4 linked regions of the Cricetulus griseus genome follow. The protein of the gene in region 3 purifies or fractionates together with the protein of the main gene of each other region. This does not show direct contact. Links are inferred from orthologs where the notes say so. Each region holds a gene or a part of one and is shown on either strand. Other genes may lie near its edges.

Region 1 (4,011 bases), on a different chromosome or scaffold from region 3:
ATTAATAGTATGTCTCTGAGTAGTTATTTGGGAAGTGATTGCAGTACAGAGCTGATCCTGATCCGGACGAAAAACTCCAACTACTTTGTCATTTGTGTGCATGTATTTCTACTCCTTGCTTTATTCACGTAAACAGTATGCAGACTCATTCCAAAGTAACAAATAACTTTTTGTTTGTTTGGTTTTTTGAGACGGGGTTTCTTGTGTAACAGCTCTGGCTGTCCTGGAACTCTGTAAACCAGCCCGGCCTGGAGATCCGCCTGCCTCTGCCTCCCGAGTGCTGAGATTAAAGGCATGGGCCACCACCGTCGGTAACTATTAATGCCTGCATTCTCTCCAGGAAATGGGATTTCAATGTTTATTTCCGTTATAAACAAAGTTGATCCTCCTCCCATGGTAAAGGATCTTCTCTTTCTGAGAGTCATCTGTTAACCTCCTTCCCCATTTTCTTTAGTTTCCCAAGGCCTTGCGATGTAAAGTGCAATATTTTCAGTTAGCCTAGTGGGACTACACCGTGGCTCTTTTTATCACCCGGTCTATACTGTCATGGTACCCTCATAAATCACCTGAGCCAGGACACCTTCACTGGGGATTAGCAGTTCTCACGGAGCTGGCTAAGCCCAGCAAGCCTAAGAACGGCGTCCCATCTGAGAAGTCACGCCGTTCTTGCTGTGCTCAGGATGGCTGTCGGTCTTCCTGGAGTGTTCCATCTCCAGAATCTGTTCTCGGACACCCCGGACCCTCACCCGGCTGCCTTCCCGGGCTTGCAGCCTAAGGCCCCTCCCGAGCTGCCCACGCGCGCAGCCTCCCTGCTCCTCGATTCACGCCCAGAACCGTCCAGGGGAGCGAAGCGGGCGGCCGCCGCGGGGAGCGGCGGCTCTAAGTCCCCCTAAACTTAGAACGCGGGACGCCCCGGCGTGAAGCCGCTGTCTCCGCGTTCCGGCGCCGGCGCGCGGAAGCATCCCGCGCGGACTGTGTGTCCCGAACCAGCCAATCGCGAGCCGCCTGCTCGGATTCCTCCGCCCAGGCCGTGCTGCAGCCGCAGGTGGCCCGGCCGAGCGCGTCCAGCGGCGGCCGCCGTCCCGAGATGCCTCGCGGGTGACCTCCGACCTCGCGGGCCCGCCCTTCTCTCCGGCCGCTTCCCTCCCCGGCCCGGCTGAGCTTGCAGAGCCCCCACGGGGCAGGTGCGGGACGCGGAGGGCGGCCTGGGCGCGGCGGCTGGCTGCGGCGGCTCCTCCACGCCCCGAGGCCCCGAGCGGGCCGGCCAGACTCCCTTCGCTTCCCCTCCTCGCCGGAGGCGCCCGGCGGGGTGACCGAGGCCGTGCCCGAGAGGCGCGTATCGGGTGAGTGGGCCACGGGCGGGGCGGCGGCGGGGCGCTCGGGCGGGGCGCGCTCGGGGCGGGGCCGGCGGCGGGGCCTGGTTTCCTCCCTCAGCGCCATTTTGTGTCTGCGAGACCCGCAAATAAAGGCTAGCGCCGGGGCTGCGGCGGCGCGGCCTCGGCCTGTGTGACTGGCGGCGCCCGCGCAGCCTCGGGCTGGAAAGGTAGGTGCGGCCGGCAGCGGCGAGGGCCTGCGGGGCCGGGGAGCGAGGCGCGGCCGCCCAGGACCCGGGGAAACGCACGCCGGGCCCGAAGGGCGATCCGGCCTGGGACCGCGCCGGCTTCCCGTTAACCCGGGCGGCTAGCTGCCCGCGGGGACAACGCACCGCCTCGGGGCCGTTTTACTTCCGCCACTGGCGGCCGGGAACGAGGCGGGCGTTCCCGCGGCCGGGGAGGCGGGGAGGCCGGCCGGAGGCCGCCCTCTCGGGGCTGACTGGCCATGCCGGCCCTTTCCCCGCCTCTGTCGCCCCCTCCCACCTCCCAGGGCGGGTTCCCGGCGACCCAGAGGTACCGACGAGTTCTGCCGGGCACAGACCAGAAGGGTTCGGGTTTTTTGAAACCGAATTTCACGTCACGCAATAGCTTGTAGCTGCAGCCGCGTTCTCCCGTGGACTTCCATTTTTAAATAAGTGCATGCATTGTGAGGAGAATTGATTTTTGACAGGTTCGAGACATTTTTCGTCAACTTTCAGTCTCGTTTTGGATCTCTGTGAGGCTGATTTGAACAAACTTAAAACAGTTTTCCATAAGAGTGAATGCACAGTGGGAAAAGGTCTAAGTTTTTGTGTTTGTGTACATGTTTTCTTACGGGGTGGGGGGGCGGCTAGGGATGGAATCCTAGGCCTTGTGCATGCCAGGCCAGCTTTCTGCCTTTGAGCTATTCCCCCGGCCCCCAGTTCTTGGTTTGATAATGAGGAAGTCGGTTAATTTGACCCCAAAGGACTGAAACACTTAACTGGTTGTAAAGATCGGGGGCGTGTTACAGCTTCAAGCAGCATTTAAGTTTCATTTGTTCATAATTTTTATTTATGCCCCTTTACGTCGTTTTCACCCTAGCTTTTTTCATTTAGTTAATTTTATTGATCCGAAAGATGAGTGGAAGTCACAGATCTGTTATTACAAATTCTGGTGTTTTGTTGTTGTCTTTTTTCTTCCCTTTAACTTGCATTTTTGAGCATTAGGACTGGAGAGTTACCTCGGTAGTTAAGAGCACTTTTTGCTCTTCTAAAGGACATGAGTTCCCACAACCCAAATGATGGCTCATGGTCATCCTTGAATCCAGTTCCTGGGATTCTGACTTCCTCTTTTGATATCTGTGGGCGGCACCAGGCCTGCACGTGGTGCACATACATACGTACAGAACATTCATAAATATAAAATCTTTTTTTTCAAGTGGCTGATTTTGTACAACATTCATAAACATAAAATCTTTTAAAATAGCATGTTTTTTTCTAAAGCTGAACATTAGGTTTTCTCATAGGTAAACAGACGTTTGAAATGAAGACGAATTTTCGAGGTGGCTAGGTTTATTCATTCATTCATTCAGTCACGACTGATCAGGGAGTTGAGTAGACTGCAGTCCGACAGGTGGCTTTGGATGTGATTGAAGTTGAATTCTAAGAATTTGGGCAGAGTGCTTTAGTTCTTCACACCTAAGCAGATGAATGTGTTTGCACAACCATATAATATACTGTTTGTAATAGCCTTTTATTTTGGTTTTGGTTTTTCAAGACAGGTTTTCTCTATGGCTTGGGAGGCTGTCCTGGAACTAGCTTTTGTAGACCAGGCTGGCCTCGAACTCAGAGATCTGCCTGCCTCTGCCTCTGCCTCCCTAGTGCTGGGACTAAAGGCATGCACCACCACCGCCCAGCTATAATAGCCTTTTGATGTATTTAGACAGACTTTACAGCTTTCAAGGTCCCTCCTGTCTTTTGTTGTTGTTGTTATAGACTCCCCTTGAAAATATTGTTGGCCGTCTTGATTAGTCCTATGTAATAACAGTTGTATTACTTGTATCATGCTCTTTAGAAGTCTTTAGTCAACCTTTAGCAAAGCAAGATGTAAGATAAAGATAACATTACTCTTGTTTTTAATTATCTCCTGTTTTCTGACTGAATATATGAAAAATTTTCAGTATTCCCCTAGTTGTATAAGCTATTGGATTTAGTGAGACTCTTCCATCAGACTAGAATTCAGTGTTGTCAATGTTCTCTGCCTTAAAGATAGATGCTGGTGGAGTTTATTTTCCTAATGTTTATTAAGTTTTCTATGTTGTTCAAACAATCCTTGTTTGAATAGTGTTTTTTTATGCCACCAATAACAGAGGTATGCAGCATGTTATTCGCCAAGCAACACTGGTTTTACTCTCTTTTACTAATACGGAAACTGAAGCCTAGAGTTAAGTGACTTGTTGGACTAAGCATGTATGACTGACTGAAATAGTGGTCTGATTTGTAACTAGTCCCTTGGTCCTGCAGTGTTGAAGGCCCAGCACTGTCAGGTAATGGTTTCCTTATATCCAGTGTGATTTACTTCAGGGATGCATATACATGTCTTCTTGCATAAGTTATATTGGCTTGTGCTCTCCCTTCTCCAGAGTCTGCTCAGTTGCCTAACTTAGGATCATAGTGTT
Region 2 (4,264 bases), on a different chromosome or scaffold from region 3:
AACCTCTAAGCCTCCCCGCTCCCCAGGAGGGCACTCTTCACAGACTCAAGCTCTGACCCCACTCTGGCTTCTGACCCTTTCTTTTCCTACCTCCGTCATCACCATTACATCCCACCTGCATCTAGGGCCCATGGGCCTAGGACTGACCATTCCCCGGCCTCATTATAGGTGTGAGTGGTGGGGAAACTGGGATGGTGTGTGTGTGTGTGTGTGTGTGTGTGTGTGTGTGTGTGTGTGTGTGTGTGTGTGGTGGGCACCCAGAGCTCCTGAGGCAGGGCCTGTGAAATGTGGGATCTTAAAGCCTCCCCCCTTCATCCCAGTCCAAAGCATTGCGGTGAGCGTACACACTGGCTTCGTGGCTAGATGACTGACCAAATCAGAGCAGGAGACTACTCACTGAAACCACCTCCTCTTCACAGATTAGCCCCAGTAGAGCTTGGCCAGGCTCTGGGTTCTGGCCCCTCCCTGGGGAAAGGGTTGATGGTGATGGACAGGTCTTCTGGAGCTGCGGGCTGCGGGGGGGGGGGGGGGGGCTCCAGCGTCCTCCATTCCACAGGAGAGAGTGCCGGGAGGCCTTTCTGTGCCTCCACTTACCCATAGGAGACTCTGTGAGGCCCAGGCCTTTCTGCGCTCAGAGCTTTGGGAAATAACAGACGCCAGAAAGTTCACCCTGGAGTGTCTTTGGAGGTTCTCTGCCTTGGAGACCCTACTTGGAGTTCCTTAGGAGGTACGGTGTTTGGAAAAGAAGAATGATTTCCTAGACACCCATCCAGGAGGAAGAAAATGACTGGGATGGCCAGGTGATGAGCTGGGTGGGGTAGAGTGGCTGAGACAAGGTCATAGGGCAGGGATGGAGGGAGGGGTATGGTCAGGGAGAGGGGTCTGAGCGGGATTCAGACAGGCTGGCATAGCTAGAGGGGGTGTGCTGTGTTAGCTGGGACAGGACTGCTTTTGGCCCTGGGAGTGACGACGGTAGACCAGGAGGGGTCCTCACGGAGGAAATGGGCTATTGACAACCCAGGCTTGGCTTGATGGGGAACTAAATTGGAGCAGGGACAGGGTAAGGACCAGAATGGGTTTAATGTAGGGTGGGATGGACCTGGGAATGAGGTGAGGTTCGGCTGGAGTGAAATCAATCAAGGGGCTCAATGGACCAGTTATTCTGGGGAGGCAGAGAGGGGTGAACTTGGGCCTGGAATCTTGGTGGGTTTAGAATTTAGGGAGAGGGTGTCTACTAGGTTGGGGACTAGGACAAGGCAGGTTCATGGGACTGGCCCTGGGAGCAGAGTGGGAGCTTAAGGTCCGGGTACAGGTCAGCGGGGCAAGGGGCATGGGGGCGCCCCGGGGCAAGCTGGGAAGGGGGGGTGGACCTCCCCCTGGGCCGGGCCTGGGCGGCGCTAGGACCGAGCGAGCGAGCCGAGGGAGTGAGCCGGGCGGAGCCAGCGCCCCCCGCCCCCGCCGGCCGGCTCCCCTCCCCCGGCCGCTGGCTCGTTCGCTCTCAGCGCTGCAGAGGCTCTGAGGCGGCCGCGGCGACTCCCTCATCCCCTCCCTCCGGTGTCGGTCGGTCCGTCCGTGCGTCTGTCCGTTCGGTCTCGGTCCGGCCCGCAGCATGGCCGGCGTGAGCTTCAGCGGCCACCGCCTGGAGCTGCTGGCGGCGTACGAGGAGGTGATCCGGGAGGAAAGCGCGGCCGACTGGTGAGCCCCCGCCCCCGCCCCGCCCCCGGCCCTTTGTCCCCAGGCCGCCACCGCGCCTTTGTTTCTCGGAGGCTCTGCCACCGGGAAGGGAGGGGGATCTCCCGAAATGGTGCAACGGCCCGGGAGAGCCGGGGAGGGGCTGCCTTTGTGCGAGCCGGGGGAGGGGCCGGTCGGGCCAGGCGGGGCGCGCGAGCCGGGGAGCCCCGAGGCCGCCCTGGGCGCACTGGGGGCGCGGGAGCCGGACGCCTGCCACGCGGATGTGGAGCTCAAAGGTGGGGCCCGGGGTCCTACGGCCCCGCCGGAGCCCATCCCCTCCCCCCCAGCCTCCCTCCACGGGCCCGGGGGACAGGTGTGCACGGGCCAGCCAAGGGCACCTTCGCCACCTTCGAGCGGGCGAGGACCGGGTGGGGACGGGGCGGGGACCGAGCTAGCGGAGCTGGAGCAGCCTGGCCGGCCACAGCACAAAGGAAAGCTAGGGCGGGGGAGGAGCGCAGAGGGCCGGGGGCCAGCGTGCCCCGCCCACCAGGGGCTTCTCAGGGTTGTCTCCCCCCACATCTAGGTTAGGGTGTGATAGAAAGGGGCGCACGGCCACATGGCAACCACGAAGTGACTCCTTTATCCCTCCCGGATCGCAGAGGAAGAGAGGTAGGGCTGAGCCCTTCTCTCCCCTTCTGAAGGAGGAGATCGTTAGGGACTAGGCAGCTAGGCAGGAAGAGACCCAGGACATGGACCCAGGCAGCTTGTCTAGAAGGCCAGCTAGGAGGAAGCATGGTGGGAGCCCCCGCTGAGGGATACCACGATGAGTAGATCTCTGGGACCCTAGCCTCTTCACTCTACCAGGGGCTGTCAGCCTCTTATTAGGGTGGTATGAGTGGACCTGCGTCTCTCCCCCTCCCCAGCTGTTATCCTCCCTGAGGTGGAGGAGGGTTTAAACCACCTGCTCAGCGGCTGAAGCCCCAGGGTGTCAGGCAAACCAAGGGGTTTGATGCCCCATTCTGAACACAGCCCCCAAGTGTTCTTCTTAGGGAGCAAATCTCCATTTTGCATTTAGGTCTCTTCACCTCATCAGACAGAAAGTAGGCTCCTCTTGAGTTGGGGCTGGTCTGAGGACCCCAGTTGGGCTGGCCACACTCTGGGAGGGCAGCCAGGTAGGGGGCCTGGAGGAGGGAACAAAATAGCCAGGCCTCCATGCCATGGTACTGCAGCACTGGCGGGCAGCCAGGCCCAGAGGGATGGACTCAGGAGACAAGTTCTTGTGTCTTGCAGGTCAGTTATAGGAGAGGCTGAACAGGCCAAGCAGGCAATCCCCACATTGTTGTCCCAGCCCTGTCCCTGGGGGGCTGAGATCATGGGAGGCAATCTGGGCAAGTGGCCTGCTTGGACTGGTGGAAGAGCTGGTTTGGGGATATGGCCCTGCCTGAGGAGAAACACTGACTGGAACCCTGCCTTCCTCCCCAGTCTAGGGGGGGTGTAGGCAGCACCCCAAATCTCTTAACCCCTCAGAAGCAGACACTGGCAGTACAATGCTGGGCCTATCCAACTCCTGCTGCCCCGCATCCTGCTCAGCAGAGGCCGGGGCTTTCACCACCAGCAACATCCATGTGGCCAAAGGGAGTTAGTTATGCATCCTTGGCATGCGTCAGCCCCATCTGGGTGGTGTGTGGGACACACACACACAGCTGCACATATACACCCCTGGAATGCATATATGTTTGCTTCCTCCCAAGGGCCTAACAGCATGTTGTGAACAGGGTGTGAAGATCACATTTTACAGAAGATGGCATGATCCTTCCCAGCTCTTATCACACAGCCAGGAACTGAGTGAGGTCCCAAGGTTCAGTGCAGGCCCTGCAGGAGGAGGTCCTGGGTCCAAATGTTGGGGCATGAGTATTTGGTGTCTGTCTTTGAATGTGGGTGTGGTGGAGCTTAGGGAAGCTGAGCCCTAGGTGGCAGGGTCTCTTCAGAGGACCACTGCCTTGCGCTGGAAGCAGAACACTGGGGAAGTCAGATTGTGCATTTGGAAAGGCCAGCAGCACCCTGGTTACGATATGATTCATTGTGTGAGAAGTTCCTGCTCTTCTGAAGCTTCTGAGAGAAGAGGGGGCTGGGCACAGCCCCTGCAGGGTTTCCAGGGCCTTTCCAGCTCTAGCTCCCTGACAGTATGCTGGTCCTCAGCCTTCCACTCCTAGCAGGCCTGGAGCTGCTGAAGTCCCACTCTCACCTTGCCCTAGTCTCGTGCCTGTGGCTTAGATGGTTGATAAGAGTTTGTGCCAACATTACAAATCCCTACAGTGGTGCTACTTTGAGCTGGACCCAGGACGGAGACAGCAGTTGGTATTAGCAGAGTCAGAGTTTTGCCTTCACAGAACTGACATGACAGTCTGTGGCAGTCACTGTCTCCAGGGTTTAATGCTACCGAGGGGAGCACATCTACAGTCCCCTCATCCACGTTTACTTTTTTGCTTGCCTCCCAGTTCCCACCAGCCGGTCACCAGGTGCTTGTGGTATGGTAGAGAGACGTTGTCCAGCAGGGTCTGGGGCTAGAACAGATGTCTGTGTTAGCGTCATG
Region 3 (4,239 bases):
CCACACTGGCCATTCTGAACACTGGAGAAAACCACGGTGTGATGACAGCTAATTGCTCCAGCTCCTGAAGGTGTGGCCTCAGCCAGGACTGTTTACAATAGTTGGTTACTGGATTTTTTTTTTTGCCTTCACAAGCCTTGATGGACTCTAGATGACACTCAGTCCCCATGTCATGGTCTCCCACCCACCCCACTCCCATGGTATGGTGGAACTTCCTATAGCCCTGGAGCAGAGGATGTGTGCTAAAGGGGCAATGTCCTGACTGGTGCAAACACAAGCCTTGATTTGCACGACTTTGCTGTGTTGGTGCAAACATCCTTTGCAGGCTGTAAAGTAGAAGTTTGACTCAGTTGGGGGGCTCAACGGGGATAAACCTCACTATGTTACTCTCCTCAGTGCTACTACGTTAGGTTCAATAAAAGGCCTCTCCCGAGGGGTGTTTCCTGGCCTTTTAGGAACAACAGGAAGAAAGAGGTGGCCTAGAGCCTGCCGTCTGGCTTACTACAAGAGTTCCTGGGAACTTCAAAGCCATAGGCCCCTGGAGCTAAAGCATTTCCTACTTTACCAGGGGCCGAGGAATCCCCACCTACTCCTAGGCGGTGGGAGGGGGGCGGCTGTCAGATGCTGAGGGTTGCGGACGAGGGTGCCAACTTAACAGCTGAGTAAAGTGTGCTAACAGGGGAAGCTCGCGCTTATAGTCGGCAGGACATCGCTCCTCGTGTATGCAGCATCTCAAAGAAGGGAGAACCACGTGTTTAGAGGGGGAAGAAGGCCCAGGCTGAACAATGGAGCCGCTGTGGTGGGACTAAGAGCACTCTGCCCTAATTAATAACCATGGAGCCGCGCGTTGGTGGCGCACGCGTTAATCCCCGCACTAGGGAGGCAGAGGCAGGCGGATCTCTGTGAGTTCGAGGCCAGCCTGGTCTCCAGAGCGAGCGCCAGGACAGGCTCCAAAGCCGCACGGAGAAACCCTGTCTCGAGAAAACCGATGATAACGACAACAACTATGGAAAGCTGCGAAGCCCTCAAACGCACCGTTTATTTTGTTAACGCGCGGGCAGAATGCAAACCTCCATCTCCTAAGTGGCCGCCTTGCCGCCGCCATTTGGGGCAGCTCCGCTCGTTCCCAGCGCAGCCGCGAAGGGCGTGCCCGCCCCCCCACCTCCCCCGGCCCCGGGAGCCTGACTGAGCTCGGCACCCTCAGGTCACCTTGGGTGCCAGGCTAAGGGCGCCGTGAGGACGCGTCCCGCTCGGCACGCAGACTCCGCGGTGCCCGAGGGCAGCCTGCGGGGAAAGGACGAAGGACGCCGCGGTGAGGGGGCGGGGAGGTGCGAGCCCGCGTCGCGCTCCGGTCACCGGCGGCGGCGGCGGCGGAGTCGGAAGACCTTTTCCGAAGGCACCCCCGAGCGGGCGCGGCCGGAGCCTCCAGGACCGCCGGCTTCCGGCTGCCGACTTCCGGTTTCCGGCATCGCGCGCCTGCGCCCTGGCGGCCGGGAAGGCGGCAGGCCGGGGGGGAAAAGCGCCCGGGACCGGAAGTGAAGGCAGGTTCCCGCCTGCGTCCCCGCCGCCGCCGCCATACGCGCTCGCAGTGCTTAGGTAAGCTGGGGCCTTGCGCGCCATCCGCCGCCATCCGCTCCGGCCCCGCCGCGCCCGCGCGCGCGCCCCTGATACCCGTCGCCCGGGCGGCGGCCTGGCCGCTGCGGCTCGGTCGGGCGCGCGGTGCCGTCGTTTTCGTCCCTTTCTGAGCGAACCTCGGTGGGGAGCGGGGAGACGGGGGCGACGATCCAAAATGGAGGCCCGGGCCGCCATTGTGTCCCCCGCTTCCTGGGTGGCCCGTGGGTCCCCTTCCCGCGCGGGCCGCAGCGGCCGGAGGCGGCGCTGGCGGGAGGGCGGGCCCGGCGCGGCCCGCGGCGGGGACGAGCAGCCGCCAGGGCCTCTGCTTGCCCGCTGCGGCGTCGGCGCTCCCGGAATGCTCACCTTCGGGGAGGAGCGAGGCTGGGGCGCGCCAGACGCTGTCAAGGCCGCTTGGCACCAAGTCCCAGCCTGAGGGTTGCATTTCCCCAGCTGAGAGCCTGCGGCTTTGAAAGCCCACCCTTGTGGCGAGCGCCTCGCGCGTGGCCGGGCAGGCATTAAAATGTAACTGTCTGCGCTGCCGGCTTCTGGCGTTGTTTGCCTGCTTTTTGGCCTTGAGCCCCTGGCGCCCCTGCTCCCGCGGTTAGGTGCAGCGGGCCCGCCTCCCCGCCCTCCGTCCTTCAGCTCCTGCTCCCCCAGGACTGGGGTCCCAGGTGAGCGCCTCCAGCGCGGCACGCAGGTGCCGCTGGACAGGGGAGTAAGTAGCAGCCACGTGATGTTTGCAATGGGAAGTGAGCGCTCCGCGCAGTGCTGACCTTCATCTATCACCCTTGACTGATGGCTGCTGGGGGGACCAACACCGTGGGGCCACAGGGAGAGCGCAGTCTGAGGTCCCCTCCTGTCCCACGCATTGTCACCCTCCCGCGGGTGGCTTCGGGCTCATCTTTTCACGGTCTCGGGAGTTGCTCCTCTTGGGTCAAAGTGCGAGCCCAAGTCTGTCCAGCAGTCACACCCGAGACCACTCTCCATTTTTTCTCGCCCGGTGTTCGTTTTCTCTTACTTTTCTTCCAGGGCAGAGGTTTGTAGTTGAGGGAGAACACGAAGAAAGTGAGGGTGGGCGAGAAGTCCCTACGTGACTGATGAGCTCTTCTTTTTTTTTTTTTTTTTGTTCTCTCTCCCAGCTCTTCTGTCGGGAAACTGGTGTCTCTTCCCTTGCTGTTCCTCAGCCCCCTCTCTCCCCCTTGCTTTCTCACCTTCTCTGGGACCACTCACCCAAAGACCTCCCTTCTCCCCTGCCGGCCCAATTATGGCAGAGAATGATGTGGACAATGAGCTCTTGGACTATGAAGACGACGAGGTGGAGACAGCAGCAGGTGGAGATGGGACGGAAGCTCCTGCCAAGAAAGACGTGAAGGGCTCCTACGTCTCCATCCACAGCTCCGGCTTTCGAGACTTCCTGCTCAAGCCAGAGTTGCTCCGGGCCATCGTGGACTGTGGCTTTGAGCATCCATCAGAGGGTACATTTTATTGTTGGGCATAGGGACCTCATGATGCATCTTAAAGATGGGATTTGTGTTTAGGGTATATAGGCCAGGCAATGAGAATGTACCCAGATGTTAGCGCTAGAAGATGCTTGTTAGCTTTGATCACACAGGATGCTGTTTGTCCTGTGCCCAGGTTTTCTTGTTTGCTTGATCGTCTTTCTGACTGTTTGGCTGGAGTTTTACATCCAGTATTTTGGGCCAGGCCACCTGGGGTCTTAATGATTGCTCTAAAGTTGCTGGCTTCTGGGGCAAGTACCAAGTCCTTCATTTTGTCCAAGGTTATAGAATGCCAGGCACATGGAAGGTAAGCTGTTGGTAGGTGCAAGAGGGTTTGCGCCAGGGAAACCTGAAGCTAGGATGCAGTTGAGACTTGATTTGGGTGTAAATGTGACTAAGGGGACAGAGAGGATGGGTCAGTCTGAAAAGTGACAGGGACCAGGCAAAATCTGGAGAATCAACTCGAGGAAAGGGGTTTGGTATGGTGCATAAAGTCTCTCTCTTTCTCCCCTTTTTCCTTCTAGTCCAGCATGAATGCATCCCACAGGCCATTCTGGGGATGGATGTCCTGTGCCAGGCCAAGTCAGGCATGGGGAAGACAGCAGTGTTTGTCCTGGCCACACTGCAGCAGCTGGAGCCAATCACTGGGCAGGTGTGTTTGAGGCAGTGCTGCAGAGGGCTTTGAGGCCGATACACTGAAGGCTGTTTGTGGCTACATAATGCTTACAGCAGCAAGGCTTACTGTTTTAAACCTCAGATTTGATGTCACAAATAACTTGACAGATGCTGCTGTTGACAGTCACTCTGGAGAGAGGGTGACAAAGGACTGATAGGGTGTTGTCTCCATTTGTTCCCTTGAAGGTGTCTGTGCTGGTGATGTGTCACACTAGGGAGTTGGCTTTTCAGATCAGCAAGGAATACGAGCGCTTCTCAAAGTACATGCCGAATGTCAAGGTAAGGGTGAGGCGCTTGGGACAGCGGAGGTCCTGGGAGCTTGTGGGGTAACAGTTGACTGTCCTGAGGCATGGAGCCGCTGTAATTGATGAGTTCCTGAAGGCTGCATAGGAGCCTTTAGTACAGTGACAGGCTCTTCTGATCCACAAAGTCAGTTCAGGGGCCCTGGGCT
Region 4 (4,139 bases), on a different chromosome or scaffold from region 3:
TTTCTTCTTATTATTATTTTTTTAATATTCTATTTATTTTTATGCGCATTGTTATTTTGCCTTCAATCACGTCAGTGCACCAGATTCCCTGGAACTGGAGTTACAGACAGTTGTGACTGTCATGTGGGTTCTGATAATTGAACCTGGGTCCTCTAGAAGAGCAGCCTATGCTCTTAACCACTGAGCCATCTCTCTAGCTCCAAATGAAGAGTCTTCAAAGGCTACCATAAAGTTCAGATATCAGATCATCAAAATTCTCCACAGAACCCTCATAGGCTCCAACCTCTTCCTCTAACAGACCTAAGACAAAATCTATTTCATAATCTGTGTGTGCATGTTCTGGGGATGGGACACAGGCTCTCACATGCTAAACCCACTCTACCACAGAGCTACACCCAGAGTCAAAACAAGACATTTAAAGAGTATCTAAGCAGTGAGAAGTGTCTCTGCTGTTAATAGAATTGTTTTCATTTCTGAAGCTTTCTCTTCCTAGAATTATTAGGTTGAAACTTGGCTCCACCTTTAACTAGAGTCGGGAACAAAGCCTGAATGTACCAAGTCAAACAAAGTCACACAATGAGGTAATTTTTACAAAACGGCACTGCTTTGCTAACCATGCCACACACTGTCTCAGCCCACATACTCCATGGTTCAGGGACCACCTGATAACACTATTTCTGCATCTAACACATTAACAATAAATAGCTACCTATCTACTTAATTGCTGGAGAATTAAACATGTTCCAACCCCATTTTCAAAGGGCCATAGAGCTACTGACCAAAGACAAGGCAAGAAATATGAGTGGTAAAACACACAGCAGTTGGGAGTGCTTTTCTAGCATGTGCACGCCCCAGGGTTTGATACCCAACACACTTGTGGGTTTTCCGAGGGTAATAATGGCAAATGATTTCACCAATACTGTAAGTTGTATCTGTGGTGTTGCCTAACCCACTTAATTGTAGGCTCTTTTAGGGTAGGGACTTTGGAACTTTGAATCTACAAAAGAACTGACATAAAATTCACTGAGAAAAAAAGTGTTTTGTCCCCCCTCATTCCTAACATAATTTAGTACCATGTTATATTATTCTGTCAATGCAAATATATGTGTGTGTGTGTGTGCAGACCTTTAAAAACAGGTAACCTTTTCTAGGCTGGCAAGATGGCTCATCAGGTAAAAGGTGCTTGCCACGAAGCCTGACACCTTGAATTTAATCCCTGGAACTCACATGGTGGAAGAAAAGAACAGACTCCCACAGTTGTTCTCTGACCTACACACAACACACATGCCATGGCACATACACATACACACCCAATAAATGTAAAACAGTAACTGAAAAAAAAAAAAGAAAAAAAAAAAAAAAAAAACCTTTCCAGGCTGGCAAGATGGCTCAGCATGTGAAAACATTTACTACAAAAGACTGATGACCTGAGTTTGATCCTCAAATCCCAAGGTGGAGAGAACCAACTGTCCTCTGACCTACAGAAACCTGCCATGGCACACTGTGCTGGTATTCTCACACACACACACACACACACACACACACACACACACACACACACACACGGATATGTATGTATGTATGTATGTATGTATGTATGTATGTATGTATGTTTGTATGTATATCCAGGGATGGTGAAGCACCTTTAAACCTAGCTTTTGAGAGGCAGAAGCAGCCACATCTCTGTCAGCCTGATCCATATAGCCAGCTCAAGGCCAGCCAGGAACTTTTTAAAGAAGTAGAAGGGCGAGGAGGGAAGGCGAATTAGTTGTTTCTTGAAAACAGAAAACTTTTCTACCAACTTTATAGCTTTTTGAAGGTTGTCTAAACAAGAGCACACTTTATCCATAGAATTCGGAAAGGCCTTCTGTAGACGCTAGCTAGAATGTATATTGCACCAGTAACTATGTAGATAAAAAGTATTCCACTTACCCACTTAGGTGCAAAAGATGATCTCTCTTCCAAGGGGCACTGTCTTAAAAAGTGATAACCCCAGAGCCTTTGGCTAACTTGTAAAGTCAACGGAACCATTTGGATTAGGCAGATTTTTGAAAGCTGGAATTAGTTGCAAGACAATAGAAGGTCGGTATCTCTCACCAGGATCAGCTAAACTCATTGTTCTGAGCACCAATAAGGAGGCTAGGACGGGCGCCAGATGGTTCACTCCTAGCACCCACAAATTCAAGCGTTAGTGTGTGTGGCATGGGGTGTACAGTTACCTAATATTAACACCTACGGATGTGAGTGACCAGCGGGTCCCAGCTCAAGTACATGAGAGGGATTTGAGTAGGACAGCAAGTAGAATCTGCTATGTTAAGTCTTTATCAGAGTTCATCTGGAGGAATGGAAGGGAGAAAAACGAGAGGGAACGGCCGCATGGAAGAAGGAAAGAGTTGCTGAATTATCTCCCTGAGAGGGAGTTTTGACTTTTGCTGAACTGCCACTTTCCCTCCATCACGTGGGAGACCAAGGGCCGGGGCAGCAAAGACTCATCCCGGCGCACTTCCCAGAAGGGCGAGTGCAGGGTGGGAGGTTCCTCCATTGGCGACCCCCAGGGGAGAAGTTCCCGCTCCTGTTGCACCCCGTCTCAAAAGGCGCGGAGTGTAGCCGGGACCTCCGAGTACACACAGGCTCCGTGGATGAGGGGAGAGGAGGGTCTTACCAGACTAGAAAGTCGTCGGTGCTCGGCGTTGCACGGCCACAGTCCCTACGCTCTGCCTAGCGCACCTGTCGCGACTGGGCAGCAGCACCTACAGCTCGGCGGCCCCGCCCCGTTCCGGCTCAGGGCCACGCCCCGTCCACACCCCCAGTGCGGAGGCGCGCACGCCTCCCGCCTCTCGAGGGGCCTGGGGCGAGCGTGCTCGCTCCCGGTGGCGTATTCGACTCGTGATCGCTAACGTCGCGGTAGCCCTGTGGCGTTGCGGGAGGCGTGGCTCCCGTGACTGCCTGTTGTTTCCTCTCTGGCTCACCCTTAGCTGTCTCTGATTAGGGATTGCCGCAATTTGATTTGAGATTCACTCAGAAGTCTGGTCTAAGTTCAGCGGCAGGGAAGTTCCTGGTGCTGTCAGGGTAAGTTCTGTGCAGAGGTATTTTACAAGAGGCCATGACCTGTGCTGCAAAGAGCTGTGAATGAGGCCTGGCTCAGACTAGCATTAAGTCACTTCACCTTAGTAGACCTGAGTTTCCTCATGGAAAGAAAGAGCTGGAAGAGAGTAGGTGGTGTCCAAAATCCTCAAGAGCTTTGATTTTTTTTTTCTTTTCTTTTCCTTTTTTTTTTTTTTTTTTTGAGACTGGAGGTGGGAGTCATCTGATGTAGTTGAAGTTGGCATGGAACTCACTGTGTAGCTTGAAGATCATCACTTGGAGCTGTTGACTCACAACTGCCCGTTACCTTCTGATCCTGGGGGATCTGACACCATCTTCTGGCCTACATGAGCACCTGCGTGCGTGTGCGCTCTCTCTCTCTCTCTCTCTCTCTCTCTCTCTCTCTCTCTCTTTCTCTCTCTCTCTCTCTCTCTCACACACACACACACACACACACACACACACACACACACAAATAAAGAGAAATGCAAATCTTTTTTAAAAGAGGCTTGTAAGAGAAGGGCAGTCGCTCATGCCCTAGAGTGGACTCGAGCTTCTCAAAAGTGTCTACACGAGCTATTTCTGTTGCTGCACTTAGGATATTAGGAGCTGTAAAGACCATGAGGAGGCAAAGCATTTGGCCATCTAGCTCTCAGATACTTTCTCCCGCCTCATTCCTCTGTGTGATGAACCCTTTGATAGTACCCTTTCCCAAAGTAAAGTGTCAAATGAAAGGAAGGAATTCTGAAGCTTTTCATGTAAGCATTGATAAGTGTTATAAGGGCTAATGGTATGATAGTCCTCAAGACAGGACACGATGATGTATGACCTTCATCCTAGCAGCCGTAAGTCTGAGGTGGAATGGTTGCCTGGACAGCCTGTTTTGCAGAGTGACAATGACTAACAACAATAGAACTACAAAAAGCAGTTGGTATGTTGTAAGGAGATGAACAATTTCCAATGACAGAACAGCCTCTTCATTCAATTATCTAACCTAGACCAACTTCTGGATAAATGTACTTAAGAAAAACTCTAGGAAAAACTCAACACTTTAT

Evidence for each region. The genes of interacting proteins can lie anywhere in the genome.
Region 1: the proteins of Ddx39b (region 3) and pre-mRNA-splicing regulator WTAP purify together in Homo sapiens (affinity purification with mass spectrometry; 3 studies listed by BioGRID and IntAct, with this or other methods). This does not show direct contact. The link is inferred for Cricetulus griseus from reciprocal best matches to the Homo sapiens genes DDX39B and WTAP.
Region 2: the proteins of Ddx39b (region 3) and Dbn1 purify together in Homo sapiens (affinity purification with mass spectrometry, with the first as the bait; 3 studies listed by BioGRID). This does not show direct contact. The link is inferred for Cricetulus griseus from reciprocal best matches to the Homo sapiens genes DDX39B and DBN1.
Region 4: the proteins of Ddx39b (region 3) and Lima1 purify together in Homo sapiens (affinity purification with mass spectrometry, with the first as the bait; 3 studies listed by BioGRID). This does not show direct contact. The link is inferred for Cricetulus griseus from reciprocal best matches to the Homo sapiens genes DDX39B and LIMA1.

The regions. Positions count from the first base shown.
Region 1 is NC_048595.1:288,069,238-288,073,248, forward strand, and holds the start of pre-mRNA-splicing regulator WTAP, read left to right. Parts: upstream 1-1,211; 5' UTR 1,212-1,343; intron 1,344-1,399; exon of another isoform or gene 1,400-1,543; intron 1,544-2,049; exon of another isoform or gene 2,050-3,031; intron 3,032-4,011. UniProt on the Homo sapiens protein: Associated component of the WMM complex, a complex that mediates N6-methyladenosine (m6A) methylation of RNAs, a modification that plays a role in the efficiency of mRNA splicing and RNA processing.
Region 2 is NC_048596.1:274,473,042-274,477,305, reverse strand, and holds the start of Dbn1 (drebrin), read left to right. Parts: upstream 1-1,464; 5' UTR 1,465-1,609; coding exon 1,610-1,695; intron 1,696-4,264. UniProt on the Homo sapiens protein: Actin cytoskeleton-organizing protein that plays a role in the formation of cell projections. Required for actin polymerization at immunological synapses (IS) and for the recruitment of the chemokine receptor CXCR4 to IS.
Region 3 is NW_023276806.1:231,768,226-231,772,464, forward strand, and holds the start of Ddx39b (spliceosome RNA helicase DDX39B), read left to right. Parts: upstream 1-1,439; 5' UTR 1,440-1,596; intron 1,597-2,262; exon of another isoform or gene 2,263-2,285; intron 2,286-2,339; exon of another isoform or gene 2,340-2,415; intron 2,416-2,753; 5' UTR 2,754-2,878; coding exon 2,879-3,089; intron 3,090-3,637; coding exon 3,638-3,765; intron 3,766-3,974; coding exon 3,975-4,067; intron 4,068-4,239. UniProt on the Homo sapiens protein: Involved in nuclear export of spliced and unspliced mRNA. Component of the TREX complex which is thought to couple mRNA transcription, processing and nuclear export, and specifically associates with spliced mRNA and not with unspliced pre-mRNA.
Region 4 is NC_048595.1:396,312,528-396,316,666, forward strand, and holds the start of Lima1 (LIM domain and actin-binding protein 1), read right to left. Parts: upstream 2,801-4,139; 5' UTR 2,663-2,800; intron 1,510-2,662; exon of another isoform or gene 1,494-1,509; intron 1-1,493. UniProt on the Homo sapiens protein: Actin-binding protein involved in actin cytoskeleton regulation and dynamics. Increases the number and size of actin stress fibers and inhibits membrane ruffling. Inhibits actin filament depolymerization.